Linked DNA regions of Canis lupus familiaris. The protein of the gene in region 1 purifies or fractionates together with the protein of each later gene. This does not show direct contact. Links are inferred from orthologs where the notes say so. Each region holds a gene or a part of one and is shown in the gene's direction. Other genes may lie near its edges.

Evidence for each region.
Region 2: the proteins of SEC13 (region 1) and SEC23A fractionate together in Homo sapiens (co-fractionation; 3 studies listed by BioGRID and IntAct, with this or other methods). This does not show direct contact. The link is inferred for Canis lupus familiaris from reciprocal best matches to the Homo sapiens genes SEC13 and SEC23A.
Region 3: the proteins of SEC13 (region 1) and NUP133 purify together in Homo sapiens (affinity purification with mass spectrometry; 4 studies listed by BioGRID and IntAct, counting the BioPlex papers as one, with this or other methods). This does not show direct contact. The link is inferred for Canis lupus familiaris from reciprocal best matches to the Homo sapiens genes SEC13 and NUP133.
Region 4: the proteins of SEC13 (region 1) and NUP43 purify together in Homo sapiens (affinity purification with mass spectrometry; 3 studies listed by BioGRID and IntAct, counting the BioPlex papers as one, with this or other methods). This does not show direct contact. The link is inferred for Canis lupus familiaris from reciprocal best matches to the Homo sapiens genes SEC13 and NUP43.
Region 5: the proteins of SEC13 (region 1) and NUP37 purify together in Homo sapiens (affinity purification with mass spectrometry; 5 studies listed by BioGRID and IntAct, counting the BioPlex papers as one, with this or other methods). This does not show direct contact. The link is inferred for Canis lupus familiaris from reciprocal best matches to the Homo sapiens genes SEC13 and NUP37.
Region 6: the proteins of SEC13 (region 1) and KLHL12 purify together in Homo sapiens (affinity purification with mass spectrometry; 3 studies listed by BioGRID and IntAct, with this or other methods). This does not show direct contact. The link is inferred for Canis lupus familiaris from reciprocal best matches to the Homo sapiens genes SEC13 and KLHL12.
Region 7: the proteins of SEC13 (region 1) and MIOS purify together in Homo sapiens (affinity purification with mass spectrometry; 5 studies listed by BioGRID and IntAct, counting the BioPlex papers as one, with this or other methods). This does not show direct contact. The link is inferred for Canis lupus familiaris from reciprocal best matches to the Homo sapiens genes SEC13 and MIOS.

Annotation. Positions count from the first base shown.
Region 1 is NC_049241.1:8,118,428-8,122,676, forward strand, and holds part of SEC13 (protein SEC13 homolog), read left to right. Parts: intron 1-2,016; coding exon 2,017-2,168; intron 2,169-2,740; coding exon 2,741-2,874; intron 2,875-4,249. UniProt on the Homo sapiens protein: Functions as a component of the nuclear pore complex (NPC) and the COPII coat. At the endoplasmic reticulum, SEC13 is involved in the biogenesis of COPII-coated vesicles.
Region 2 is NC_049229.1:17,442,522-17,446,770, reverse strand, and holds part of SEC23A (protein transport protein Sec23A), read left to right. Parts: intron 1-644; coding exon 645-724; intron 725-1,649; coding exon 1,650-1,794; intron 1,795-3,987; coding exon 3,988-4,146; intron 4,147-4,249.
Region 3 is NC_049225.1:10,193,875-10,198,123, forward strand, and holds part of NUP133 (nuclear pore complex protein Nup133), read left to right. Parts: intron 1-12; coding exon 13-171; intron 172-639; coding exon 640-775; intron 776-4,154; coding exon 4,155-4,249. UniProt on the Homo sapiens protein: Involved in poly(A)+ RNA transport. Involved in nephrogenesis.
Region 4 is NC_049222.1:40,749,049-40,753,297, reverse strand, and holds part of NUP43 (nucleoporin Nup43), read left to right. Parts: intron 1-238; coding exon 239-419; intron 420-2,352; coding exon 2,353-2,488; intron 2,489-3,249; coding exon 3,250-3,401; intron 3,402-4,249. UniProt on the Homo sapiens protein: Component of the Nup107-160 subcomplex of the nuclear pore complex (NPC). The Nup107-160 subcomplex is required for the assembly of a functional NPC.
Region 5 is NC_049236.1:41,260,971-41,265,904, reverse strand, and holds the start of NUP37 (nucleoporin Nup37), read left to right. Parts: upstream 1-1,886; 5' UTR 1,887-1,977; intron 1,978-2,531; exon of another isoform or gene 2,532-2,636; intron 2,637-3,268; 5' UTR 3,269-3,330; coding exon 3,331-3,486; intron 3,487-4,934. UniProt on the Homo sapiens protein: Component of the Nup107-160 subcomplex of the nuclear pore complex (NPC). The Nup107-160 subcomplex is required for the assembly of a functional NPC.
Region 6 is NC_049228.1:400,040-404,288, forward strand, and holds part of KLHL12 (kelch-like protein 12), read left to right. Parts: intron 1-194; coding exon 195-344; intron 345-1,782; coding exon 1,783-1,897; intron 1,898-4,249. UniProt on the Homo sapiens protein: Substrate-specific adapter of a BCR (BTB-CUL3-RBX1) E3 ubiquitin ligase complex that acts as a negative regulator of Wnt signaling pathway and ER-Golgi transport.
Region 7 is NC_049235.1:23,148,502-23,152,750, forward strand, and holds part of MIOS (GATOR complex protein MIOS), read left to right. Parts: intron 1-86; coding exon 87-152; intron 153-977; coding exon 978-1,136; intron 1,137-4,249. UniProt on the Homo sapiens protein: As a component of the GATOR2 complex, functions as an activator of the amino acid-sensing branch of the mTORC1 signaling pathway. The GATOR2 complex indirectly activates mTORC1 through the inhibition of the GATOR1 subcomplex.

The DNA of each region.
Region 1 (4,249 bases):
CTGCCTCCCAGGTGGAGCCTGCTCACAGCATGCCTTCAGCTGCTGTTATTTTAAAAGTGGAAAGAACATTTTTTTAAATTTAGCTGACATGATCTAAAGTATCACTCAAAGGCAATAATGTTTATGTAAGAATGCATTAGTAATTATGTAAGTTCTATAATCTTACCTATTTGCCTGCCCATAGCAGATATTCAGTGAATATTTACAAATGTTTGATTTCCCCTCTCCCTACTAAGATTCTTGAGATCCTGGCTCATTTTTGTGGCTACATCCCTACTACTATCCCTCAGTCCACTACATTTCAAGTAAATGGGAATCCTTAACCTGAGTTCCACAGATCTCCAAGGGTTTGGTGGATAGAATTCAGGGACTGGTGAACTGGGGCTGAGATTAAAAAAAAAAATCACATCTTTATTGTCAGTGACTCATATTTAGCATTTCCTTCAATGATGGATTTAGGCTAGAAACCACAGCAGTATTCAGAACACCTGTAACTTTGTTACCAGTAGAAGACACAGATATCTTTATAGCACATTCCAGTTACAGCTGTCTCAAAGTAGCATTTAGGCTCATCACTACTTTGAGATGAGAGTGGTTATTAGACCTCCCACTCGAGTTTGTTAATGTGCTAACAAAGAAGTACATGTATCACGATGTTATAAATCCTTCTTCAACATTTCACTAACTGTATTTCATTTAATTGGATTTCCTTTGTAATTCTAACTCTGTGTATTGTATCCATTATTCTGAGAAGGGACCAAAGCCTTCAGCAGACTGCACAGGAGAAATTAACCTTGATGAATAGGAGTTCAGTACACATTTGGTAACTGAATTAAAGAAGGCATAACTAAGTAGTCATCTGGGGAGACGGAGTCCCCCTCTTCTTGAGTCAAAAACTGAGTGACTGAGGGGTCAGATGCTACTTGTGCAGCAGGAGCAGCCCCAGGCTGTGCAGAATGCTGCCTGGCACCGGTACTGGCAGAGGCGATCGCATCTGCTCTTACTTGGCCCTTTCTTCTGCGCTCTTTTTCTCATGCTTAAATGATGTATGATATTAGAGGAATAAAAAAGATTCACACCTCCTCCCTTTTTTTTGCCTTCAGTTGAACTGCTAGTTATAGGACATTTGTATCTCTTCCGAGTTTCCTTGGCAGCTACTTTGTGGGGCCTGGAAATTGTCCCAGCCAGAAAGAGGAGGACACATTGAGTGTCTGCAGCCCTGGGGTAGAGAAGTGAACAAAGAACAGCAATAGCAGCTGACAGGCATGAGTGGTTTTTCCTTTTCTTGTGCCCAGCATTGTTCAAGCTTTTTACGTGAGTTATCACACATATTTCCCCCTCACGAGCACACTTTTGAAAGAAGTCTTGCTGGTATCTCCATTGGGAGACTAAGCCACAGAAAAGACATGACCCTTACCTAAAGTCAAGCAGCTAGTGAATGGGGAGTGGGGGTGGAAAAGCCTGGGCCATCACCTCTCTGCCGTGTCACTTCTTGTGTGCTGGGTTCCCACCCTTCCCTGCACCTCAGAGACAGCCCCAGTACAGAGCCCAGCACCAGGTATGTGCTCAGATATTACTGACCAGGTGAATGCATAAAGATCAGAAGAACAATTTACTCTACAAACACCTCTGAGCAATTATAAGTACAAACCCTGGATTGATTGGTGCACAAATGAATAGGCTGAGAGGCTTCTGATGATGGCAGATGTAGGTGGTACTGGCTACACTGTGGGACAAGGGAGGGTTATGGCAGGTCAGGATAGAGAAGCTGAGTTAAAGTCCTGACTTACTTTCAAAGCCCCTGGGCCTCAGGACCTTTACTGCCCAACAAAGGTCCCCTTTGGCAGTGACATCCTATAGCTCTCCGTTACAAAATTCTTAGGCAACTCTGTCCTGAGATACTGTATCTGCCTACCAAGAAAGCCATTCAGTTCAGTCCAGAGTAGTGGCTAGCAGAGCACCGCAGGTTCCTGTGACCCATCTGAGCAGCCTCTGACCCTGTCTGTCCCCTTGTAGTCACGAGGGTCCTGTGTGGCAAGTGGCCTGGGCCCACCCCATGTATGGCAACATCCTGGCATCCTGCTCCTATGACCGGAAGGTCATTATCTGGAAGGAGGAAAATGGCACCTGGGAGAAGACACACGAGCACACAGGACATGACTCCTCAGGTACAGTGAGTGTAGTGGGAGCAGGTGGGTGGGGCCTTGCATTCCTTTCCCTTGTGATGCTCCTCCTTTGTCCCTTGGGTTTGGTTGGCTTTTCTGCTGTCTACAGCAGAGATAAGGCCCTAGGACCTAAAGACAATTTCAAGTGAAATAAGAAAAGGTAAAAACAGTAAGTTTTCTAAAAAATTTATTCATTTAAAGTACTGGCCTTTATTCTCAGATTACTTTCTATCTGCTTTTATTCCCCTGGTTTTATTAATTTATTTTTATCAACATACAGTGTTACATTGGTTTCAAGTGTATATTACACTGACTCGATATTTCTGTCCATTACGCTCATCACAGTAAGTGTACTCTTAATCCCCTTTATCTATTTCACCCCATCTTGCTTTTTGTTAAAGTAGACGGTAGTTTATGAAATTATTATATTCATGGATGATGAGCTTTTTAAGTCTCCTTAATTGACAAAATTAAAACTTCCTCCTAGTGATCCCTGCAATTTTATTTTTCAAATTTAGTAAAATGATAAACCTGGGAAACAAAGTCTGCTAACTATGCTTCTCTCCTTCCTGCAGTAAACTCTGTGTGCTGGGCCCCCCATGACTACGGCCTAATACTGGCCTGTGGGAGCTCAGATGGGGCCATCTCCCTGCTGACATACACCGGAGAGGGCCAGTGGGAAGTAAAGAAGATCAACAATGCTCATACTGTAAGTCTAGACCTTGCCTGTGCATGGAGTGTGCTTTTGTTGCCTTGCTATGTGTCTCCTGGAGACTCTTGAGAGAGTGGCAGGAGTAGCCTCACTGCTGTGCAGGGGGCTGGGGAGGGAATGATGCTCAGACGTGCTTGGTGGGTCAGTTTTGAGCCTCTTTAGCTCTGAAGCCAGACAGAGGCTGCATGCAGGGAGGCCAGGCTATACCAGCCTCATTCGGCCCAGGGCAGGGGTTGGCACAGGTTCCTCTTAGCAAGCTCCCAAACCAGGCAGGGCCAGGACCTTGGCAAGGTGGCAGCAGTAGCCTGTTTACCTGCTGCCTTTGCTATGGACACCTCAAGTTGACATGTTTACAGTGGTCATTGGGACCCCCAGAACTGAGTAGTGTTATAAAGAACATCCTAGGAATTCAGTTCCTTGCATTTCAGTCATTAGATATTATGGCTAAAATAGTCCAGAAAGCACTGTAGACAGTAAAGAATCTCTCACAGTACTTAACCCTTACTGTGTGTCATGTAATCCTTACAAGTGTCTGTAAATGAAAGAAGAAGCTACCAAGTGTATAGGCATGCAAGTAAGCCATTCTGTTCCCATTTTATGGCAAGACAGATGAGGGTCAGAAAAAGTAAATGATTTAGAGAAGGTCCTGTGCCAGAATTAGAACCCAGATTCTGTATACCTTCTCACTATACAACAGTTCCAGCTTTGGTGGCCCCAAACATTTCTAAAATCTACTCAGATGGAAACCTAGTAGCTCCCAAGCTTGATGCTGTACTTGGGTACTTCTCAAATTCAGGGGATCCATAGTCTGTCCAGCCCCTAGAACCCCCAAGAGCCTGTCTCAGAGTCTTTACTTAAGGTACTCAGATTCCCATCTGCTGACTAACTTGCAAAAATGAGTAGGCTGAGAGACTTCTGAGAAGATGGTACGGAGTGGCATCACAGCTTTTCAGTCTTTCCTCATCTCTGTAAAAACCCAACAGAGCAGCTAGAGAGCACAACCAAAACTTCACAGCATTTACAATAAAACTAGGTAACAAGATATTTCCACAAACTCCAAAATAGAAGCAGAGAGGAATAAACCAACAACCACAAAACTGCATGGTATTGGTTATCTGAGCAGGAAGAAGCAATAAGGTGCCTTCTAACAGACCTGAGAAGGGAGAGTATTGCCAAAATAGCCAACAGGGAGGGGATCCCTGGGTGGCCCAGCGGTTGGGCGCCGCCTTTGGCCTAGAGCGTGATCCTGGAGTCCCGGAATCAAGTCCCATATCAGGCTCCCTGTGTGGAGCCTGCTTCTCCCCTCTGCCTGTGTCTCTGCCTCTCTCTGTGTGTCTCTCATGAATAAACAAATAAAATCTTAAAAAAAAAA
Region 2 (4,249 bases), on another chromosome or scaffold:
GTGTTTAGAGAGGAATTTTTTACACATTTAAAATTCAAAACAAAACTGGTGATTTGGTTAGGTAGTAACTAAAAAATTAAGAAGTATAGGCATAAAGGTGTGTGTACATTATAACTCTTATATGATTCCATGTACCTCTCCTTTATAACATTTATTACAATTGCAATTTTATACTTTTTTAGCTAACAATTTTATTAACTGCTATTTGTTTCATCAGATTTTAATTTCATAAGGTCAAGGACTATATATATATATATATATATATATATTTACCATTAGATGCCTGACACATAGCAGGTACTTCTCAAGTGAAGTTGCTCAAAGGGATGGATGAATATAATTTAAGAAATACATTCAAGTTATGTAGTAACTTGACTATTAATTAGAAATAAAGTATTTTTGAGCTAATATTCCTCTTTGCTTCTATAGTACCTTGTATTTTGCTCTCTCATGGTGATTATTTCATTGTCTTGTTACTGTTTATCTGACTGTCTCCACAACTGAACTTTTTGCTTTCTGAGAAAAAGACTTTATGCTCTTTATTTTTGGGTTCCTAATACCTAGCACAGTATCTGGCGCATGGTAAGTAGTTGATACATCTTTGGAGTAATTGAACGGATATCACAGAAAAAATCTCTTTACAGGAAATGCTGGGACTCTCTAAAGTACCTGTTACTCAAGCAACACGTGGTCCTCAGGTACAGCAGCCACCTCCTTCCAATAGGTAATAATGAAATATGGCAAAGATAATTTTTACAATTTGTGAAGCTCTTTTAAGCATCCTGTACCCTTAACTTGAACATAGACATTCAGTGATACTATGTTGTTAAATATTTTTAAGAATGTGAATATATTGCATTAGTATACCTTCTAAAGATTTGAGGCAGAATCATATCACCAAAATGGTTGGTTTCTCATCATTACAATGTTGAGTTACTTTAGTTTTGATATGTTCCTGATCTATTTTTAAGTTCATAAAAACTTTTGTGGTTGAAGGCAGCCAAACAAAACTAGGTTCTGCAAAAGCTTTTCATTTTGCCTTCTTAGCCTTACAGGTAGTTTTTTCCTCCTAAACTTACTAATTAGAGGTGGTATTACTAAAATTGAGTTGATGTATCTTCTCATAATTACTTCAGTAGCCTTAAAACTTACCAGGCCGGTAAATAAAAGGCGCAGTCCTGAAGTAATACTTGGTGTGAGTGTTTTACTTATAGTTGTTGTGCTAAGACTGGTTCTGGACCAGTAGATAACATCACCTGGGAACTTGTTTGAAATGCAGTTCTTGGGCCCTACCCCAGACCTACTGAAACGAAACTCTGCAATCAGCAATCTGTTAAAATAAGTTCTTCTACTAGTTCTGATGTACACAAAAGTTAGAGAGCCATTGGTCTGCCATGTATTGAAGTTACTTTTCTCTATTTTTAATTTTTTTTTTTTAGGATTTTATTTATTAGAGTGAGTGAGCACATGAGGGAGAGGGAGGCTCAATCCCAGGACCCTGGGATCATGATGAACTTAAGGGAGATGCTTAACCTACTGAGCCACCCAAGTGTCCCATACTTTTCTTTCTTTCTAAAAAAGTGAACAGTTTGTTTCTTGAACTCTTACAAACATTTATAAATGACTTTTTATTTAACTTTGCTTTGCAGATTCTTGCAGCCAGTACAGAAAATAGACATGAATCTCACAGATCTTCTGGGAGAACTGCAGCGAGACCCTTGGCCTGTACCACAGGGGAAGAGACCTTTGCGTTCCTCTGGAGTGGCACTTTCCATAGCTGTAGGACTACTTGAGGTAGTGACGATAGCTTTGTTTTGGAAATGTAAATGTGTATGTGTGTATCAATGATATGTACAAGGTAATGTTGTTGAGTGAGAAAACCAGGTCATTAAGACAAGTATCTAATTACATTTAAAGTTTGACCTATGGTATATCCTTTTGTGTATAGAGAGGCACCTGGAAGGGTGTTCGTCCAGCTGTTAGCAGTGGTAGGATAAGGGGAATTTTGCTTTTAAGTAGAGTTTGAAAATTTTACACTACACAGATCTTAAGCTTTATAATTAGAAAAGAGAGTTTAAAAAAATGCTTTTTAAAAATGTGAGATGCTATCAAATTTACAGAGAAGTTGTAAAGAACTTTTTTCCCTTTGAACTATTTACATTGTTGACACCTTTCCAACCCCTTGAAAACTTGAGTTGTATTTCCTATAAATCAGGATATTTTCTATAAAACCACAATACAATTATTACAATCAGAGTATTAACACTGACATGTTACTACCACCTAATTTTCAGAACTCATTCAACTTTTGCTGGTTATTTCAATTTCTTTTACTAAAAAGATTTAATTCAGAGACATGTATTTAGCAGCATGTTTTTTTTAGTTTCCTGCAGTCAGGTACAGTTCCTCAACTTCTGCTTTCATGAACCTGATGCTTGGAAGATTCAGGCCAGTTATTTTATAGGCTCTCTCAAAGTAGGTTTGTTTTGATGTATCCACACAGTTAGATTCAGGTCTTACATCATTGGTAAGAATATTGTAGAAATAATTCTGTGTTCTCATTACACCCTATCACATGGCCTGTGATTTTCATTTGCCATTCAAGATGATACAGTCACCATGATCACTTCTTTTTTTTTTTTTTTTTTTTTTTAAGATTTTATTTATTTATTCATGAGAGACAGAGAGAGGCAGAGACACAGAGGGAGGGAGAGGCAGGCTCCTGCATGGAGCCTGATGTGGGACTCGATCCCAGAACCGGGATCATGCCCTGAGCCAAAGGAAGATGCTCAACTGCTGAGCCACCCAGGCATCCCACCGTGATCACTTCTTAAGATTGTATCTGTAGATTTCTCCACTGTAAACATACTTTTATTTTCCCTCCTTTTGTAATTGAAAAGCATTAGATGGTGAGGGTCTTTGAAATCATACAAATATCCCCTTCCTCATCAAAATTTAAATTTATTTATTAATATCATTATAGAGTTTACATCTTTTCTATGTGTATAGTTACTCTACTTTGTTCCATAATTAGAAACTTTTTTTTTTTAAGATTTTATTTATTTATTCATGAGAGACACAGAAAGAGAGACAGACGTAGGCAGAGGGAGAAGCAGGCTCCCTCTAGGGAGCCCGATGTGGAACTCGATCCTGGGACTCCGGAATCACACCCTGAGCCGAAGGCAGACGCTCAACCACTGAGCCACCCAGGCATCCCCATAATTAGAAAAATTTATATAATCATATTAGAAATGCTTTTTGGGGGAGTCTGCTTCTCTCTCTGCCTATGCCTCTGTTTCTCTGTGTCTTTCATGAATAAATAAATAAAATCTTTAAAAAAAAAAGAAGAAATGCTTTTATTTGCAATTTTCTTAGTTACTGGACAAAAAACATAGCACTTTTTTTATGTTATGTTATAGCTTCAGAAAAGAATAGATGGTATAACTTTTGTAATCCAGTGTATTTGGATTCCTCAAAATTTCTGTTCTACTTATAGCACTCTTATTTTTTATTTATTTACTTATTTATTTTCAAAATAATACCATTTTTTCTCAAGTCACTGGTACCTTAGGAGGAAGGAGAGGTAGATTGGAGCACTCAGTCTATCATCTTGAATTTGAAATATAAGCTATGCTTGTTTTAAACATAAAAAACAAAAATAAAACAACAACAAAACAGAAGATGCACTCTTTTCACTCTTTCTTTACTCCTTCCAGTCTAGGATTAGTTAAGCAGGAGAAGCATCCTTGTTTATAGGAATCAAGTTTATAGAGTATTTTAAAGTTAGGAGGGCACTATTAATAGGATTTCAAAAGAAAGGTATTTAAACAAATACCTTGTCTTTAAATTCATTTTAAACATTTGATTATTTCTTGGGAAATGTATACTTTTGTGTTTTCTGGAAAATGTATATCAAAATTCACTTCTAGAAATGTATAACTTGTATTTTCCTTTAAACTCTTTTGACAAGTTACTTTTTTCTTATAGTGTACTTTTCCCAACACTGGTGCTCGTATCATGATGTTCATTGGCGGTCCAGCAACTCAGGGACCTGGAATGGTGGTTGGAGATGAACTGAAGACGCCTATAAGATCATGGCACGACATTGAAAAAGACAACGCTAAATATGTTAAAAAGGGAACTAAGGTAATTTTGGCTTTTAAGCCTTGTTGTTTTAGTAGAAAAATTCACTTGATGACAGAGGGAATACAAGTACTTTATGGTAAGAATCTGATGTTGTAACTGCTAT
Region 3 (4,249 bases), on another chromosome or scaffold:
TTTTTTTTGTAGAATTTTTCAGACTTTCTTTTCCGTTGGTATCTGGAGAAAGGAAAGCGAGGCAAATTATTATCTCAGCCCATTTCTCAGCATGAAGAGTTGGCAAATTTTTTGCAAGCTCATGAACATCTTAGCTGGTTACATGAAATTAACAGCCAAGAATTAGAAAAGGTAAGGAAGATTGAGTTACATGGAGCCGATTTAGGCAGTTTTTTATTTAATTAGTTTAGCTTATAGTGATTAAAATATTATTTAGAGGTGATTTTAAATATGTATCTCCTGTTCGCTGACATAATTTGAATAAAGTGTTTTTATTTATGATGGCATAAAACAAAAAAATGTTCAAATTTTGGGTAAAAACTATACATGAATTAATTTTAAAGTTTGTCCTTGACAAGTTGTTGAAGTGAATATATAATTGTTATAGAAGGAATGTTTTATGTATGTTTCTTTTCCCAATAATTAGTATGGCAGGTTGATATTTTGTGCAATCACTCTCAGTATATAGTACCAGTCAGTTTTAGATTTGCTAGTATTAATTTGATTTTTCATTGTTATCAGTTGGGAATAATTTTGGGTTGTACTTAACTTGAATTAGTACTGAGAATCTTAACATTTTTCATATTTTGTTTATTGTAGGCTCATGCAACACTTCTGGGTTTGGCAAACATGGAAACTCATTATTTTGCAAAGAAAAAAACCCTTCTTGGTTTGAGTAAATTGGCTGCATTGGCTTCAGACTTTTCAGAGGATATCCTACAAGAAAAAATTGAAGGTAAAAGAAAGGATTTGAATGTTAATCATGCTATCAGTGAACTCTTAGAATGCATTCCTGTAATTAATAGGGTTTATTAGAAACAGGACCCATCACTCCTTTAAGAGGAGCGATTTCTATCCAGTCTCATTAGACACTTAAGTACATATTTTTTGGGATTCTATTTTTTACAGAAAATCTGTTTGTTAAATAAGAATTCCTAAGAATTATGTATGATTTGAAGAGTGCTCTGAGTATACCCTGAGTGACTCATAATCTAAGAACAAGAAGAACTGCAAAGAAATCTTGACCTTTTTAATCAGTGGGTTTGTTGTAAATAGTGGTAATTTTGAAGCTACTGGTTTCAGAATTCAAAACTTTTTGGTGTCATAATTGTATCCAACTATTTTGTTGTATTGTAGGTTGAGAAAATGATACATTGTCATTTTTGAGAACCAAGGGGAAGGGAGATAAAATCTAGGAGGAGAAGGAAGAACCCTGTATACAGCATTTGAATTGGAGATTTCAGATGGAATCAAGATTATTTAAAATTAAAGTATTCCTGGCTCTGTTCACTGAAAAGGGCTAAAAGCAGTGACACCCCAGTAGCATGAGTATACCTAGTCCTATGTTTTGGCTTCTAACTACTTCTAACTATTTCTTAGTAAAAACAAAGGTTATTGAGGAAAGATCTTGAATCTTGCTGAGCCAGAGAGCAAGGTTTTTGTAGAGATGTCAACAAAATAGCCTCCACTGGCCGAGTTTGAACCAAAAATAATGATAGTAAAATGATAGTAAAGCATTTTATTTCACCATTTAAAAGCAAAAATTCATAAATCTACAGTGATGCCCAGAATGGGAAGGATCAGTGAAATTCTTCTTTACGAAAAAAGAATACCAGCTGATAAGTGTGGAATAGGACTTGGGAAGCATCTTGCAACTATAGTGACTAATTGTTCATCAAAGGATGCTAAAACATTGAGTCTAGGGGTTAGGGGTAGAAGATCATCTCATGTTTTCAGACTGTCATTACACACATCTAACAGACCATCATCAGCAGTGAGACAGATTAACATTACATACTTCCTGGAGTGATGCAGAATATCACCTGCATTGCTTTCGTGCTAGAGATGTTCAACCTGAATCTAACAACAGGGAATGATCGGATGTATCCTATTTGTGGGGCATTTAATATAATCAGCCCAGTCTTTTCAAAATTAAGCAACATAAAGGGAAAAAAAAGAGGCTGTTTTAGATTAAAGTAGCCTGAGAGCTGTGACAACCAAATGCAGTATGAGATGCTCGGTCATCCCCCAAATAACTGTGACAAACATTTTGGTGACAACTGGGGAAATGTGAACATAATTAATATTAGATGACTTTACTATATCTGTTAAATTTTTCAGACTTGATAATGATACTGGTTGAATGGTCTTGTTCTTAGGAGGTATATGCTAAAGTAATTAGAAATGAAATGGTGTGAAAGTCTGCAACTTCTATATTACTTAAGGGGAAAAGCAAATAGGTGGGTTGATAAGTAGATAGGTAGATAAAGCAAGGATGGCAAAATGTTAACAGCAGGTAACTCCAGGTATACAGTGTACACTGTATTCTTTAAATTTTTCTGTAGGTTTGGAATTTTTCAAAATAAAAATCGGAGGGGGATCTTAGCTATCTGTTCAGGGGTGAACTGTATGCAAATACAGGTGTTTGGTTTCAGGGCTTAGCCACAGAGTCCAGTCTCTTAGGTACAGATTCTAATTATACTGCTGTCATTTGTTTCTTCGAGGAGTGGGAATAGTGGAAAGAATCTAGATGGAAATTGGACAGATCCGATTTCAGATATTTTCTCCAGCTTACTATCTTTGTGACTTTGGATACCCTCTGACAGGCCTCAGTTCCTCAGCTATAAAATGGGTAGTTACAAGGATTGGAGGCACTGTTCTTGAAAAAAAAAAGTCTTACATATATTATTTAATATATCCTAGGATTAGCATTTAATTTTTATTATTAAAATTATTTGGGCAGCCTGGGTGGCTCAGCGGTTTGGCACCGCCTTTGGCCCGGGGTGTGATCCTGGAGACCCAGGATCGAGTCCCATGTCGGGCTCCCTGCGTGGAGCCTGCTTTTCCCTCTGTGTCTCTGCCTCTCTCTGTCTCTGTGTCTCTCATGAATAAATAAAATATGTTTTTAAAAAAAAATTATTTTGCACTGTTGAGGGAAATCTTCAGTCTTTTATTTTTAAGCACTGGTAGTCCTTTTTTGTTCTAAAGAAGTGTGTATAAATTCAGCAAGGTTGGCTGATAATCTGACGTGGGAAGCCATAATTTAGTCTGATCACCAGAGATAGACCATGTTATTAATTAAATCAAGGTTTTATTTCTTGCTACCTCACCCACCAGAAATCGTTAGAACTGGTCATTTTGATTTGATTACTTCTTAACTTTCACATTCTTAACACAATGGGAGTATTTTCAGATGTCAGTAATTACCTACAGACTGTCATCAGTGTATCTGGACATAGGGAGTAGATTTTTGAAAAATAACTTCCTTTCTGGTAATGTGAATAATTCCTTATGGAAATTTGTAAATTACCAGGAAAAACACAAACAAAAAACCCAAATTGTCTATATAATATCTCACTGCCACAGAGATTACTACTATTACTGTTTTGTGTATCCTCCCAGTCTGTTTTTCTATGTATGGAAATTGCACAAAAATGATTTGATTGTGAAGTGATGTCAGTATTTGTATGAGCATATTTGTGCTTTGGTCACTGTACTTTGCTGTGATGGGACCGCTGTGTTTATGAGGCTGCATGGCAGTTCTAGATCCTTTTCCTCTGTAGCCCAGCCTGGGGATGGGCTGCAGCCTGGATGGCTTATGGCAAGTAAGCCTCACCCTGTCCCCTCATCCTATTGAGATTACCATTGCTAGTTAATAGGTTTGGCACATAAGCTTCCAGGTTTTGTTTTTCCTGGAGTATACTCATTGTGGCTTTTAAGTAGATCATTTCCCCTAGTGAAAGATTATGCTAGAAACTCTGGTGGGAGTTCCTAAGTTACCATAAAATGGGACTGAATCCCCCGATCTGAAGGACTTGTGCCTCAAAATAGCCATCTGTTCTACAATTTCTTCAAGCAGTAGGGTGTATTTTCATAGCTCTTCTCTCCCCTCCTGTATCTGGTGATAGTGTTTGTTTATATGATTTGGATCACACCATAAATATGTTTTAGCATAATCAGAAATCAAGAGTTAGCAGAATTAATAACATTTTAAGTTCACCAAATAGTGATGAGATTACCTGTAGAGATGTTCCTCTTTTTTGAAAAAAATTCAGATTTTTTATGATGGAGCAGAAGAGTTTATTCCTCTCCCCGCCTCTCATTTTGAATTCTAGAAATGGCTGAGCAGGAGCGCTTTCTGCTGCACCAGGAGACCTTGCCTGAACAGCTGCTGGCGGAAAAACAGCTAAGTCTCAGTGCAATGCCAGTG
Region 4 (4,249 bases), on another chromosome or scaffold:
TATTTTTAAAGTTTGAGATATTAATAGGATTTCTTTTTTCATCGAATCCAGTGTATACAGAACTTTGATGGAAGTAGTTTCTAGGCTTTAGTGCCCAGAAATACAAAGGAAAAAGGAGAGAGTTACTCTTTTTCTAGAAGGGTGTGGGCCAGGATTTTAAAATACTCTTTATTCAGGGAAAAGTGCTAGTTTTTAGGGCTTCGCTTTGTTTAATCATATCGTCATTCTGGAAACCTAGACTCTGTCAGTCAGCCAGCAGTGGACAGCAGCTCACTACCACACAGGCCCGGGAAGTCCTTCCTATAGCAGTGCACCATGCACAGGTGTTGTGTGCAACAGCCCAGAAATTGTCACAGTTGGAGAAGATGGTCGAATAAATCTCTTTAGAGCTGATCACAAGGAGGCTGTGAGAACCATAGGTAAGCAAAATATATTTCTTTTGTTATCACATAATTGAGCACCTACCAGGTGTTAAGCAAACGTAATGCTAAATGTTTGAAGGATGTGAAAATATACAAAGTAGGAGCCCTTTACAAGACAAATGTTGATAAGACATGTAGGAATGAGTGACGACAAAAGAAAAGCTGTTTGATCTTTTTTTTTTTTTTTACTGGAGAGGATAATGGAAGAATTGAGGAGCAAGAGGCAATTAATTTAAACTAGGTTCTGGACCACAAATCTAAAAGATGGCACACCAAACAAAAGGAATAAAATGGAGGCAGGATAAGTCCATTCAGAGAATGACAAGAAGTATAGTTTTAGATATTTACATAGGAGAGGGGACAGATAAGCAAGAAAATTAAATTGGGGCCAGGTTTTGAAGAGTCCAGTGCACAACCACAGAGGTTACATTTTGTCAGGTGGGCAACTAAGGAGCCATTGAAACTTGAGGCAGGGGGATGATATACTCCCTGTGATGTTTTGGAAGGATTATTCTAGTCTAGTAGTTCTTAACTATGCTTCACATTGTCAGACTTGCCTGACAATAGTTTTAACGATCCACCACCCTAGACCTCCTGAATCAAACCTCTGTGGATTGAGCCCATGGATCCATTTTTTGTGTTGTTTGTTATTCTTTTTAATTCTGAAGAACACTTATTTAACGATTAAGGACCATTGCCTGGAGTTTAGAGCAGTGTCACAAAACAAAAGGCAAGAAGTAGGTGCTAAATTATGTGATATTAAGCTTAAACCCTCTAGGTAGGGATGCCTGAGTGGCTCAGTGGTTGAGCATCTGCCTTTGGCTCAGGACGTGATCCCAGTCATGGGATCGATTCCCACATTGGGCTCCTTGGGAGGAGCCTGCTTCTCCCTCTGCCTATGTCTCTGCCTGTGTGTCTCTCATGAATAAATAAAATCTTTAAAGGACCAGTATACCAGTCCAGAAGGACTTCATGGAGAAGAGAGTTAATGAGGCTAAAGATGAAGAGATTTTTTTTCTAAGATTTTATTTTTTTAAAGATTCCATTTTCATTTATCTGAGAGGAGACAGTGAGCGCAAGCACCAGAAGGGGAAGAGGCAGAGGGAGGAGAAGGAGGCTCCCCACTGATCAAGGAGCCCAACATGGGGCTCGATCCCAAGGCCCTGGGATCATGCATGACCTGAGCCGAAAGCAGACACTTAACCAACTGAGCCACCCAGGCGCCCCTTAAGATTTTATTTTTAAATAATCTCTACACCCAACATGGGGCTTGAACTTAGAACCCTAAGATCAAGAGTTGCATGCCCTATCAGCTGAGCCAGCCAGGTGCCCCTAATGATGAATAGATTTGAGATAAGTCAGCCAAATGATACAAGTTCCGAATAAGCTATATAGGAAGCACTGAGGTTGGGAGGTTCTGGGTTAAGCACTAGCGGGAGATAAAAAACTGGAAATAGAGGAACTTAAATAGCTGTCTCCGCATTGGAGGGTAATAGTCGTAAGTGGAAATAGAGAAATATGTGAAAACTCAGCCTTCTGTTTGGAAAACAGCTGTTCTGTAAGACAGATAATTTTTCTATCAAAGGAGAGTCCATTTTAACAGATATATTCCTGTGCATTTTTCTATAGAAATTAAACTGACTTATTTAAAAGTTCACTTGTAATATTTCAATCAATAGAAGGAATGCAAATTAAGAATTTTGTGGAGGGGCGTCTGGGTGGCTCTGTGGTTAAGTGTGTCTGCCTTTGGCTCAGGTCCTGAGCTCAGGGGCCTGGGATCCAGTCCCACATCCGGCTCCCCATAGGGAGCCTGCTTCTCCCTCTGCTTATGTCTCTCTCATGAATAAATAAATAAAATCTTTTTTTTAAAAAGGAATTTAATGGGAAAATAGGACTCATTAACACACACTACTGTTTTCTTAATTTGTAGACAATGCAGATAGCAGTACACTCCATGCTGTAACCTTCCTTCGAACTCCTGAGATTCTTACAGTAAATTCAATTGGGCAGTTAAAAATATGGGATTTCAGAAAACAAGGAAATGAGCCTTCTCAGATATTATCACTGTAAGTTTTCATTTGTAATTTTAGTAGTGAACAATTAATTTGTTCAATTGTTTATAACAACTGACTTTAAACCATATTGTATTTTAATTGCATTTGAAGAGAATGATCCCTGATTAAATTTGGTAAAGCAAGTATAATTTGATGAGCTTGGTACTGCTCTGCTGCATATTTACTAAAATATTTGTCATATTGATTCAGAGCCTGTATCTCTTGAAAGTTATATTATTTAATGGGGAATTTAATTTTGCTCAGCAAATGATTCTACTGATACAATGCACTCCTGATGTGATTGGGATAAAAATAAAATCCAAGATATTTTTGCCTGAGCAAAAAATTTTATGTGTGCAATTTTCTCTAATAAGAATATAGAAAAAAAAGAATATAGAATTTGTCAAAGTGAAAAAGTAATTATATAGGCAAAATATTAAGTCAAATAAGAAATAAAGAATATGCTGTTTAGTTGTACATAAAGTTTTTTAAATGCCAAGAAATGGAAATATGTTTGCACATCTTACCATCAGATTATCATGTTCCTTATGTCTCCAAATTGAAGAGAGAATAATTTTGGCTTTAATTCCATTGCAAAATTCTAATATTTAGAAATATATTTAATGCACCCAATTTTTTGACATGATTTAAGTTCAGCCAATAGCTCCAGCCACAAAGTTAGTTAGTTGCTAGAGTGAAATATGTTTCACGGATTATGCAAAGATAAATCATATTTCACAACATGTTTGATGTCATTATATCTCCTATAAAAGGACTGGTGACCGAGTGCCCCTCCACTGTGTTGATAGACATCCCAACCAGCAGCATGTTGTAGCTACTGGTGGCCAGGATGGAATGCTGAGTATTTGGGATGTTAGACAGGGTACTATGCCTGTGTCTCTGCTGAAGGCTCATGAAGCTGAAAGTAAGTGCTGTGGAGATACACAAGTCTTTTTTGTTGGGTGGTAATATGATGTATTATAAGCAGCTTTCCGTAATAAGACATATGGATCATTTTATGTTGTAGGTTTTGGCTGAATTATGTAAATGTATAATAACTAATCCCTTTTTATTTGACAACTTATTCAGTATGTTTCTTTATTCTATCCAAAACCACAGTGATTAATTATCCTTACATGTTCATCTTTATGTGCTTTTCTTAGGATAATTTTTTTGAAGTAGAATTCGTAAGCTAAAATATTTGTATAGTTTTAAAGCTCTGATACATGTTATCAAACTTTATACATAAAAATACATAAAAATATTATACATAAGTTTATATTGCCATACTCCATATAAGAGGATGCCCTTTTCCCACTTAAATGCAGGCTATCATTGTTAATATTTGCCAATCTATGTGTTCCTCAATTTATTATTGTACTCTTTTTTTTTAAACAACAGTATATATAGGATCTTGTCCCTTTTTTCATCTTTTGATTTTGGTGGGGATTTTTTTGACTAGACATATTTTTCATTTTACCACTATTGTTGATATCATGACTGAATTACAATTTTAAATTCTGACTTAAGAGAAGTTTATATTAAGCCCTGCTTGAATAAAAGTACAAAAGCAGAAGCATACCAGCATTTTAATTTCTTAGTTTAAGTTTCACATTATCACCTTGGAAAGATAGATTATTTTTAAGATTATATTTAAGAAGCAAATAAAATGATAGAAATTTTTTTGCCTCTTCTAGTTATAACCAACCCAAGGGGAAAAAAGGAATAAAAAGAAATAGAATATGTCCTCTTGGTAGTGATAGTAGATGTTGG
Region 5 (4,934 bases), on another chromosome or scaffold:
TCCTGAAAATGAAAATATAATAGTTCCTATGTCACAGGAGTTTGTGAAAAGTCAAGGATAGAAGTACAAGTTGAGCTTTTAGCAGCGTGTCTGACCCGTAGAAAAGCCCAGAGTCTCATCCAGGGGTCCGCACACTTGTGGGAAAGGGCTAAACCAGAAATATTTAAGGGGTGCAAGGCGCTCCATCTGTGTCACAACCATTCAACTTGACCTTGCCTGTGGGAAAACAGCCACAGACAATACATAAACGTAGGCTAGGCGCATAACTCTGCTTCAACAAGACTTTGTGGAAACTGAAATGAACGTTTACATGATTTTCACATGTCACAAAATATCATTCTTTTTGTTTTTGTTTCAATTACTCAAACATGGAAAATCTGTTCTTAGCACTGAAAATGGCTGCACAAAAACAAGTAGACCAAGAGTTTGCCAACTCTGGTCCAGTCCCCATGCTTTCCACAGCTAATGGGCAACAAGCTTTACTTTACCCCTGACTGCCCAGGTGAGGTGTCATCACGCAGAAAACGGGAAAAATATATATGTGATACTTATACATTTATATTATATAAATATACATTTATATATATGAAAAAAATAAAACAGGAATAATACCTTCCAGCCAATTATGAGGAGTCACTGAGACGATGACTACACAAGCACTCGGAATTTCAGGCTGGGCGGCACTATACAGCAACAGTGGCAGGTGGCAGTGATCATGAACACTCTCCTGAAAAAACTAGCTTCCAAACTGCACTGGAGCAAAAACTGTGTCACGGGAAATTATCACTAGGGTGATAGTGAGAGATGGTAAAAGAATATCTACGTCGGATATTCCAGGGCCCACATCCTGGTTCCTCAATGTATGAAATGTACGTCCTTCGGTATTTAAAATCTCTGATGAACATAAATTTCCTCAAGCATAAAGGAGTTAAGATATCACTTACCTCGTAAAACTATAACACAAGGAAACATCCACCTAGGGTCACGCACTTAATAGGTGCTCCGTTAAAAAGAAAGAGGGACGTGGCTCAGCGGTTTACCGCCTGCCTTCGGCCTGGGGGGTGATCCTGGGGTCCCGGGATCAAGTCCCGCGTTGGGCTCCCTCATGGAGCCTGCTTCTCCCTCTGCCTGTCCCTCTGCCTCTCTCTGTGTGTGTCTCTCATGAATAAATAAATAAAATAAAGAAAAAAGGAAAGGAAAGGAAAGGAAAGGAAAGGAAAGGAAAGGAAAGGAAAGGAAAGGAAAGGAAAGGAAAGGAAAGGAAAGGAAAGGAAAGGAAAGGAAAGGAAAAGGAAAGGAAAGGAAAGGAAAGGAAAGGAAAGGAAAGGAAAGGAAAGGAAAGGAAAGGAAAGGAAAGGAAAGGAAAGGAAAGGAAAGGAAAGGAAAGGAAAGGAAAGGAAGAAAAAAAGGGGCATCGCCTTCAGGGTGCAGATCCTAAATATTCTTTGGGAGACGGTAACAGAGAGAGAGAAAGTAGTGAAACTGGAGTCTGCTCGCGTCTTGGGACTCGAACCATGGTTTCCTGCCACCCTAAGGAACATACGGAGGTCCCTCCAGGCGTCCCTCAGGACCTTCCAGCCATACTCCTCACCAGATAACCGGGAACTCTTCTACACCCCCAGACCCAAGCAGGCTACAGAGCAAAGCCACTAAACAAATCACATTCTGGACGGTCACTTGGCTGTCACCAGCCCCAGCCTGAATCACAGATTAATGTGTGACAGGCGGGCGGGCAAGAGATGACACTCACCTGCCTCGGGAACAGCCGGCAGGTGCAGACCCCACGTTACAGTAGTCCCGCCAGGCTGCGGTCTCCAAGCGGTGAGAGTTCGTCCCGAGTTAGATTTTTAAATCTCGCGGGAAGGCTCGGGAGCCAATCGGCGCTTCCGCCCTCTGACCCGGAAGCAGAGTCTGCGCGCGCCGCGGCAGTCCCCCAGCGGAGACCGCCTTTCCTCCGGCTATTTCCCGACGCCCCCGGTGCGTATCGCGCGGGAGCCCTAGGGGTCCCTGCTGCTTTACTACTGGCTGCACAGCGCTCCCGTGGTGTCCTTGCGAGTTACTTCTCTCCCGGGCCGCACCCTGTCTTTTCCCGGACCTCAGGCTTTGGGAGGTGGTCGCGGGGTCTCGCGGGACTTGCCTGTCTGGGAGAGGCGTTGGGGCTCTTTGCAGCGCAATCCCTTCCCTCCTCTGCCTTTCCAGTTTTAGAGGGCACATCGCCCCCCCCCCCTCCCCGCAGTGTGCAGGGAAACCCTGAAATGCAGTGAGAGTGGGCACTAGTTTAAGGAGCAAGAAGGGGACCGAGTTTCCTGACCTGGAGTCTTTTCCACTCCCCACACCGCCGTGCCTCTCTAAGGGCATCCACCTGCTGGTCACCCTTAACACATGTCAGGTCCCGGATTCCCACTCGTATGCTTACTAGGTTATAGGCTACATGAGTTGGGATTCCTCTCCTTCTCCGTAAATACTTCTCAGGTTCTTGATGTGTTCGTTACTGAGCCCAACTGTTCTCAGGACAACTGCGTCCAATTAAGAGAGAAAACACAAAAAATAAAAAAAAAAAAAAAAAAAAAACCTCTTTACATTCCTGAGTCTTATCTGGGAATGCTACTTTCAGAGTGCACACCAGGCCATAGCAGGTTAGTTGAACTTTTGTGCCTGGTTTTATGAGTATTATTTTTATATCACACATTTTGACACACCTTTCACCAGATCTTATATTTTCGATCTGCTTATGTTATGGCGCTTTTCACACTGAGTCATAACTGTTAGCGGATATTGTGATCTTGAAGGCAAAGGGGCTGTTTTTCTTCCCTAGGATTAGTGTCCAACGCATAGTAAAGTATTACAAGTGCTATCTCCTCTTACGGGCATGGCAACTAACCTACTGAAGTCTCGATTCTTCTGTAAAGTGGCAGCCATTTCCCTCCTCTTAGGTTTGCAAGTGTTAGGTGTCATGATGTTAGTAAAATCCTTAACATGGCACCTGCAAATAGTGCTCTGTAAATGTTAATTTATCATTAATTTTTTATGAATATATTTACAACTAAAGTGATTACATCTTCAAGTACTCACTGTATCTTCTGGTTAAACAGGTTATTATGACGATTTATTCTGCAAGTATTATAAAGTATTTAAACAAGTACTTGAATTTTTTTTTTTAGCTGCCTGTGGCATCTGAAATACCATGTCCTTATTTTGATTCAGTTGCTGAAAGTGACTGATACTTTGACGTTTTCTATCTGTGTTGTGTCTCTGCTGTAATCCACAGTTTCGTCACCTTGTCCAGTAGAAGGCTCTTTTATTACAACTGCTCAAGTATTGACATACAACATGAAGCAAGATGCCACAAGAAGTGCTGCCTACACTGTGGATTGTGAAGATTATGTGCATGTGGTAGAATTTAATCCCTTTGACAGTGGGGATTCAGGAAACCTAATTGCATATGGTGGCGGTAATTATGTGGTCATTGGCATGTGTACTTTTCAGGTTAGTGTACAAAACTCAGTGACTGACAATGAAGCTATTTTACTGGTTAAAAAAACAAACTTTGGTAAACTGATTAAAGTTGGAAAGCATATTGAGTTTGAATGTAATAAAAAAAAATATGAAGAACTACAGAGGAAGATATTTCCAGTAATATATGCCTGAGATTTGTGCAAACATTAGTGAAAAAAAAAAAAAGACCATGAGGCCTGTCTTTTGCCTAATAATTAGAAATGGAATATTCTGGTAATTGAAGGTTGTGACTAACTGAACATTTGGTATGTACAGGGAAAACACCAATTAAATGAGATCTAAGTAATCCAGTTTTTTTATATTCTAGGCTTTGACACGGAAATCAAGCCTAGAAGAATGATCCTCTAGGAGATTTTACAGCTGTCGTGATATTCAGCTTTTCTATTAGTATGCTCTCATGCTTTTTATTCATCTAAAGCATAATCCAGAGTATACAAAGTATGAGACCCAATTAATTGAACAGGCAATTAGGCATATTCATTAAGATTGAACTCTGGAGCCAGAATGCCTAGGTTTTTACCCCTGTCTGGCTTTACCTCTTAATAGCAATATGACCTCGAGCAGGTACTTAATCTCTCTTATATAAAAATGAGGAAAATAATACTTAATAGGATTTTATGAGAATGTAGTTAGTACATCATGTGAAGTTCCTGTAAGGCATCTGCATGTTTAATTCATATATACATATTATATACATATATATATATACACACACACACACACACACACACACACACACATATATATATAATGTTTTAACTGTTATTAATTCGGCATTGTTTCCCTCTAGCACAGGCCCATGGTTAATCACCAAAGCAGGATGCTTTGCGGTGAGCACACACCATGTTTTCTCACAGGAAAGCTAGTTCCACATGTGAAAGAGTCTAAACAATCAGAGTTCAACCCTCAGAAATCTTGGCTAATCCTTTGTTTACCAGAATATTATTCATAAAACAATATTTCTCAAATTAAGGTTAATCAGTGAGGTAATATGGCAGTGATCAGTTTTCAAAGATTTAAAGTAACTTTACCACTAGAATGGTACTATTATAAACATAATTATTATTTCCTCTTTTACTCACGAGGCAGTTCAGTATTTTATTTCAATATAGTGTTTTGACATCATAAATGCAATTTAGCATTTTATAGTACAATAAGTAAAATTATCCAAAATTAGACTGCATGCATATTTATCCTAAGGAGAAAGTATGAATTCAAGCTTTCAGGTTTTTGGTGTTTGAATGTAATATAAAAGCTCTTACATTGTGCCACATTGTCTCTCTTAGGGTTAGGGTAGGAATTGCTAGCCATGACCCACAGCCTGACTTTAGCTGGACTACTTCGTTAGGATTATAAAAAGCCGACATGATTAAGAGAAATAATATAACACACTTTTGAAAAAGACTGAGGGGAAAAAA
Region 6 (4,249 bases), on another chromosome or scaffold:
GCTCTTTTGTTGGTCTTAGTTGTGTCAGACAAGAATGGTTTCCCAAGAGCTTAGCTATCTGGAAGAGAAGAAATGATGGTGGTAGGGAATAGGGAACAGGAAGGAGACAGGCACCAATAAGGCACCATTACTTTCTGAGATTGTGAGATAATTGGAAAAGCAGAGTTCCATGAGGTGTAATTATACATTTATAGGTAGATTCGGAAGAGCCCGTCTTTGAAGCAGTCATCAACTGGGTGAAGCATGCCAAGAAGGAGCGTGAAGAATCCTTGCCTGACCTGCTACAGTATGTCCGGATGCCCCTGCTGACCCCCAGGTACATCACGGATGTGATAGATGCTGAGGTAAGACCTGCAAAACACATAGGATCCAAAACCTTGAATATCTCTTGCAGCTTAGTATTGTGTACTCAGGCCTCCCAGTTAGCCTATCTAGGAATGCCGGAGACGGTGGTTGCGAGGTCGTCTCCCCACAATTGCATGGCAAGTCAGCCTTCTGGAAATGGAAATCTATGGTTTAATTTTCTGTTTTCTTGTCTTTTTGTTTTATATATTCTTATGTGTTTTACATAAGCAACATCAGATGATAACGTCCCCTTCATCAAACATAAGTTGTTCCAAACTACTCTAAAAAAGATGCTTTATCAAGTCTCTGTTTTTGACCTCTCGTGAAACCAACACAAAAGTAGTTTAATGGATTTTAATATCAATTTGGGTTATACTGTGTTTTTTTTTTTATACTGTGTTTTTTTAATAAAAGTGTTTCTCTAGCCCAAGTTCTTGGTGTGTGCTGTGTTTTCATAATGTTTACCATATATATCACCGATTGACCTAGACCAAACAAGTACTGCTGTTTAACATACAGGTGAAGCCCAGGTCAGTGAATGCATTCCTTCTGGCCCAGCCCCAGACCTCTTGGGGACTTAACTACATATATAGTTTTCCAGGTCACATTAGAAAAATTGCAGGCTGGTTAGTGCCATGTGTCAAACTCTTCTCATATTTGTAATTTCTTTCTAGCAACTCCTGTAGCCATCATGTCTATTTCTTTATATAGTGATCCATAGCTCAGACTCTCGAGTCAGACTCAGGACTGAAATCCCAGATTGACCACTCGTCCTGCCCTGAGGGAGCCCGGCCTCACTCCCCTTCTCTCTCTGAGCTCCTCTACAGCTCCTCACTGGCTGAGCCCAGCCAGAACCCAGAGGGCCTGGGGACCACATGACCTACTTCATGTAGGCCAATCTCCTAAACCAGCAAGCAGAGTGGAGAAGGATGCAGAGTGAATCTAGGAATGTGAAGAGCTGCCCATTACAGAGCGCCGTCAGGTGGAGACAGAGGCATTGTGACGGTGCTATGAACCTTGGGGAAATTATTTCAGATAAGATTTACTATTTCTTATCATCCCAGGAATTAACAGAAGCCTTTTGGTTGTCCCTTAAAATTTTTATTAACTATTACGCACTTAAGTTTGTGTAATCACTGGAAGGATATACAAACAAACAAATAAAAGTAGTTAATGCCTAGTGCTGAGGTGGATAGGGAATATTCCTCAGGATTTCTTTTTATGTCATTTGATTTTTGAACCATGTAATGATATATTGTCTATTAAAATTTTTTAGTTTAATTTGTGGAGACTACATAATTGCTAGCAGCCCTTCTGGAACCACAGAGCTTTAGAAACTGGTTTTCTCTACCAAGAAGTTATTTCTTATATGTGCCATTTATATTCATATTCAAGATGTGGCCCCTGTGGCTCATTCTACCATCTGCTGTGTTTCAGCCTTTCATCCGCTGTAGTCTGCAGTGCAGGGATCTAGTTGATGAAGCAAAGAAGTTTCATCTGAGGCCTGAACTGCGAAGTCAGATGCAGGGACCCAGAACAAGGGCTCGTCTAGGTAAGCTGGCATCTTGGCAGAAGGAGGGGATATTTTTCAACTCCCCCTTGCCAGGTGGCATGATGTAGTTAAAAAGAACATTCAGGAAGAAATACAAAGACCTGTTTCGGACCTGTTTTTAATCTTTTAGTAATGGCGTCCTCTTGGACAAGTCACTTCACCACTCTGAGCTCTCCTATAAACTAAGGATACCTTCCCTATGTATTTGACATACCTGGAGGATTAAATGGAATAGAGTGTGTAAAAGCACTTTCTAAATTGTCGAGTATTATGCAGCATGAGTTATAATTTTATTTCACTATTTTTGGAGTCCTGTGAATTAGAAATTATTTCAAATGCCAAGTTGTATTTCGCCATTCTGGAATAAAACGAGGAAGAAAAAGCAGCAGGACAGTATAAAGTACAGGGGTGTTGGTAGTGACGTACAAGAGTTCAGAGCCTGGACTCTGGAGCCAGACTGTGTGGGTGCCGATCCCAGCTGACTACTTGGCACGTATATTAGCTTTGGCAGGAAATCTCACCTCTCTGTGCTTCAGTTGCCTCCTCTCTAAAGTGGGATCATAGTTTTACCTCAAAGGTGGTTATGAAGAGTTAAATGAAGTGATTTATGTAAAAGGCTTGGGCTAGTTCTTGGCACCCGACAAGTGCTGTATACATTAGCTGTTATCTTAGCAAAGAGACTTAGGTTCAAATCACAGCTCCACCAGTGACTGGTTGTTTGACCTTGGGTAAGGTATCAATTTATCTGAGCCTGTGCTTCTGCCTGGAAAATGAGGATACTAATGTCTTATTTCCCTGGATGTTTGTGGAGATTAAATGCCTGACATTGAAGCTGACGGGTAGTAAGTACTCAGATATTACCTCGCTTCTGTTTCCTATCCTCCCTATTCCACTATTGTAGGTTATAAATGATCTATGGGGTGGTGTTTTGTTTTTGGTATTGTCTATTTTTTCTCTTACCTAACTGTGGACTCGTGTATATGAGGGTGTTAATTGATAATTAAGCTGTTCACTGATAGTTTGAAGTAGAATGATTCGTGGGCAGCCCCGGTGGCTCAGCGGTTTAGCGCCACCTTCAGTCCAGGGCGTCATCCTGGAGACCTGGGATTGAGTCCCACGTCGGGCTCCCTGTATGGAGCCTGCTTCTCCCTCTGCCTGTGCCTCTGCCTCTCTCTCTCTTTCCTCTCTGTGTATTCTCATGAATAAATAAATGAACTCTTAAAAAAAAAAATAAAGAATGATGACTCATCCCCTGATTTGTTTTAATTGTATAAGTACCATATGTCAGTGTATGTCAGTATGGAAATGTTAGAAATACAGAGAAGATCTTGAGAGATTCGAATGTGATTCTACATGCCCTTAGGGTATTGAGGTTATTTTTCTGAAGTTCCGGAAAACAAATTCTGAAGCTGTCTCCAGCTAGATTCTTTTTTTTTTTTTTTTTTAAAGATTTTTCTTTATTGAGACACAGAGAGGCAGAGACACGGGCAGAGGGAGGAGAAGCAGGCTCCCTGCGCGGAGCCCGATACAGAACTCGATCCCAGGACCCCAGGGTCACTCCCTGAGCTGAAGGCAGATGCTGAACCACTGAGCCACCAGGTGTCCTTTCAACTAGATTCTTTTATTAGCATCTCCTTGTCAGTGTCTTAGAAATAAATTGTTCCTACTATCATGTTCTCTACTCATCTCCCTTCATAGCAATTGCTAAACCAGCTACCAGGATAATGACTCTTCTGCATACAGCATAAAGAAATTAAATTTACAGCTACATAAAGATGGCATTCCAAATAATGGGTGGGGATTTTGTCTTAGTTATTTACTTCTTACCCATAACTCTCTCACAGAGAATACAGTGGATATTGCCATTTCTAATTTGTCACAATCTCCTTTTCTGAGCTAAAGAGCAATACATGTGGAAATGTCGTCTCTGAAGCCTGTGATGTTAGCAGTCCTGCAGTCGTATCTACTATAGTCCTCTGACTGCATACCACAGCTTGCACACATTCCTATCTCCCCTCCCCAAATAATGACAAGGGTGCTGTCAAGATGCCTTGGCTTTACTAATGTGCTTTTTCATACTGTTTTTGTCAGGCGTTTTAGACATACTCTCCTCATTCTAAAGACAAAATCTAATTTAACAAGTCCCATCCCCTGCCCCCTCCTCCCCCACCCCATTCATTGGCAAAGAACAAACAGGTTTCCTTTTTTTTTTTTTTTTTAATATTTTATTTATTTATTCGACAGAGAGAGAGGGGCACAGGCAGAGGGAGAAGCAGGCCCCATGCAGGGAGCCTGACGTGGGACTTGATCCCGGGTCTCCAGGATCACACCCTGGGCTGAAGGCGACGCCAA
Region 7 (4,249 bases), on another chromosome or scaffold:
TGAAAATAAAATTACTATTAGGTTAATAGTCTGCAAGAATTTAAAACTCCTAGCTCCCACAAGTAACTTCTTGCTCTTCTTTTCAGTATGAAAACAAAGTTGCTGTACGTGACAGAGTGGCATTTGCTTGTAAATTCCTCAGTGATAGTCAGGTAAAAATTGGTTTAATTCTATATTTGAAGTGATTAATATTTACTGTTACTGGATTAGGAAACTAATCTTCATGTACAAATATGTGTATGTAACATATAAATTCTTCTTTAAAAATAATTTATTAGATCAAGATACTGTAAACATGTGTATTGTAACCAAAATTGTTTAAGATTCCTGACTTAATATTTTAGTTTATTTTTGCTTTTGATCTAGAGATAAAGACATTAAATTCACCGCTTAGGGATGCTATAAAAAAATTCCTTCATTCCTTCCTAATACAATAAATAAGTATTGAATGCATATGCTGTGTATATAGTGACAGAGAAACGCCCATAAACAATCAGTAATAAAAGGTGCTAAGCACTATAATAATGAGCAGGAAGTGCTGAGGGAACAGAGAGGAATATAGACTAGAATTTGGGGTGGGATGAAGTCAGAGACCTTACCAACAGATGATTATTTTTGATCATCTTCAAGTTCCCTTTCAACTCAGATTCTATGTTTCTATTACAATAAAACTTTGCAGAATACTGAGGGACAGTTCTCTTTAAATTTAAAATAATAAACCCTCTATAGTTCTTTTATAGAATAATTACTAAAATATAATGAATGCCTTTTTTAAAAAATATTTTAAATAACCAGGAATGCTACATTGTAATTTATGACAGATGCAGACTTCTTAAGAGATCACATCTAGATTTTTGCGAAGGCTTTGTTTTAAAATGTGTTCCATAAAAATAAAACTATTCCAAAAGTATAAGTTTTGAAGTACAGAGTATATAGTGAAACAAATTGCTTCAGAAAAATCACTTTGAATTTTCCAGTTAAATAGATATATTGAAAAGTTGACCAACGAAATGAAAGAGGCTGGAAATTTGGAAGGAATACTGCTTACAGGCCTTACTAAAGATGGAGTGGACTTAATGGAGAGTTATGTCGATAGAACTGGAGATGTCCAAACAGCAAGTTACTGCATGTTGCAGGTTAGTGCAGTGTGGTAGCAGCTTAAAGAAAAACAGTGCTTAACCACCTTCTTCCTTCATTGAGTGGGTATGCCTTTTGCTTGTTTAGGATCTTTATAAGGCATTTAACTTTAATTATTTTTACTCTAAATTTAGGTAATTAACATATAGTGCAATATTGGTTTCTATGGTAGAATTCAGTGAGTCATCACTTACATACAACACCCAGTGCCCATCACAAGCGCCCTCCTTAATCCCCATCACCCATCTAACCCATCCCCCACCCACAACCCTCAATCAACCCTCAGTTTGTGCTCTATTTTTAAGAGTCTCTTATGGCTTGTTTCTGTCTTTTTTTTTTTTTTCTTTTCCCACTTCCCGTGTTCATCCGTTTTCGTAAATTTCACATATAAGTGAGATCATGTGACATTTGTCTTTCTCTGACTGACTTATTTCACTTAGCGTAATATACTGTAGCTCCATCTGTGTCATTGTGAATGGCAAGAGTCCATTCCTTTGGATGGCTGAGTAATATTTCTGTGTGTGTATCTGTGTGTGTATGTGTGTACACACACCACGTCTTCATCAGTTGATGGAAATTTGGGCTCTCTCCATAGTTTGGCTATTGTGGACATTGCTGCTCTAGATGCTGGGGTGCATCTGTCCCTTCGAATCTGTATTTTTTTATTCTTTAGTTAAATACCTAGTGTAATTGCTGAATAATGGGGGATCATTCTATTTTTAACATTTTGAGGAACCTCCATACTGTTCTCCAAAGTGGCTGTATCAGTTTGCATCCCCACCAACAGTGCAAGAGGGTTCCCCTTTCTCTATATCCTTGCCAACACCTGTTGTTTCTTGTGTTGTTAATTTTAGCCATCCTGACAGGTATGAGATGGTATCTCATTGTGATTTTGATTTGTATTTCCATGATGATGAATGATGTGGAGCATCTTTTTATGTGTCTATTAGCCATCTGGATGTCTTCTTCAGAAAAGTGTCTATTCATGTCTTCTGCCTATTTCTTAACTGAATTATTTATTCTTTTGGTGTTGAGTTTTGTAAGTTCTTTGTAGATTTTATTTTTTTTTAGGATTTTATTTATTTATTTTGAGAGAGAGAGAGAGAGAGAGAGAGGCAGAGACACAGGCAGAAGGAGAAGCAGGCTCCATGCAGGGAGCCCGACGTGGGACTCGATCCCAGGTCTCCAGGATCATGCCCTGGGCTGAAGGTGGCGCTAAACTGCTGAGCCATCTGATCTGCCCTCTTTGTAGATTTTCGATACTAACCCTTTATCAGATATGTTGGCAGATACCTTCTCCCATTCTGTAGGCTGCCTGTAGTTTTGTTGATTGTTTCCTTCACTGTGCCAAACCTTTCTTTTTTTAAGATTTATTTATTATTCATAGAGACAGAAATCTCTATGAATCTCAGAGAAAGAGAGAGAGGCAGAGACACAGGCAGAGGGAGAAGCAGGCTCCATGCAGGGAGCCTGATGAGGGACTCGATCCCGGGACTCCAAGATCATACCCTGGGGCAAACGAAGGCAGGCACTAAACTGCTGAGCCACCCAGGGATCCCCTGGCTGAAGCTTTTTATCTTGATGAAGTCCTAATAGTTCATTTTTGCTTTTGTTTCCCTTACTTCTGGCAACATGTCTAGTAAGAAGTTACTACGGCCAAGGTCAAAGAGGTTTCTGCCTGTGTTTTCCTCTACCATTTTGATGGTTTCCTGTCTCACATTTGATCTTTCATCCATTTTGAATTTATTTTGATATATGGTATACGAAAGTGGTCAAGTTTTGTTCTTCTGCATGTTACTGTCCAGTTTTCCCAGCACTGTTTGTTGAAGAGACTTTTTTCCATTAGATGTTCTTTCCTGCTTTGTCGAAGATTAGTTGACCATATAGTTGTGGGTCCATTTCTGTGTTTTCTATTCTGAAGTTCTATTGATCTATGCATCTGTTTTTGTGCCAGTACCAACTATATTATCTTTTTTATTTTTAATTTTTTTTAAAGATTTTATTTATTTATTCATAGAGATGCAGAGAGAGAGGGGGGCAGAGACACAGGCAGAGGGAGAAGCAGGCTCCACGCAGAGAGCCTGATGTGGGACTCGATCCAGGGTCTCCAGGATCATGCCCTTGGCTGCAGATGGCGCTAAACCGCTGCACCACCAGGGCTGCCCCCAACTATATTATCTTGATGACTACAACTTTGTTATAATACCTTGAAATCTAGAATTATGATGCCCCCAGTTTTGTTTTTCAGAATTGCTTTGTCTGTTAGAGGTCTTTTGTGGTTCCACACAAATTTTAGGATTGTTCTAGCTCTGTGAAAAATGCTGGTGGTATTTTGATAGGGATTGCATTAAATGTGTAGATTGCTTGGGGTTAGAAGGCATTTAACTTTAAGCTAATCAGTTATTCTGTAGTAGACTTCTACCTTATCTTACTATCCCTCAGCCAGTTTTTCCTTCCATTTTGGGAAGTGTCCGTGTTGAATTTACATAAAGCTCAAATGGAGCAGAGAAACCTCTTTCTAGTTTCTCCAATTCACAAAACTACTTTCTATAAAAGAGTTGCCTTTCCCTGATCTGAACTATGGTCTCACTTGAAGTGCAGAAAGAAGTTATACCACAACTTCCTTCCTCTCATTTTACCTTTTTAATATTTGGGGTAGCCAGTTCATCAGTTTACTCTCAGTTTTTATTGTCTAACAGTTAAAAACAGATTTCTGGCAAAAGTTCTCTTCTTTACTTTTGATAGAAATATGGTGAACAGTTAGAGCATTTCCCTGAGATTTCATGTAGCCCTCCAGCTAATCTTATCTTCTCATGGTGTCCTCTTTCCTATCCCCATCTTTTCATACAGTTGATAGCATGCTGTATACTGGGTAAATGTAGTAAAATGCACCCTCGGATCCTACCTTCTTATGAACAAACAAACAAACACAGTATAAATTTACCAACTTATCAGGCCACTGCCTGTGGAAGAAAAGGTGTCTTTCTGTAGCATAGCACATCATTTTTTTTCTTACTGAAATGAGATTATATCTATTAAATCAACTGAGATTACATGTATTAAATCATCCCAAATCTCCCCTGTGTAAGGTTTCATTTTCCTTTGGGCTGCT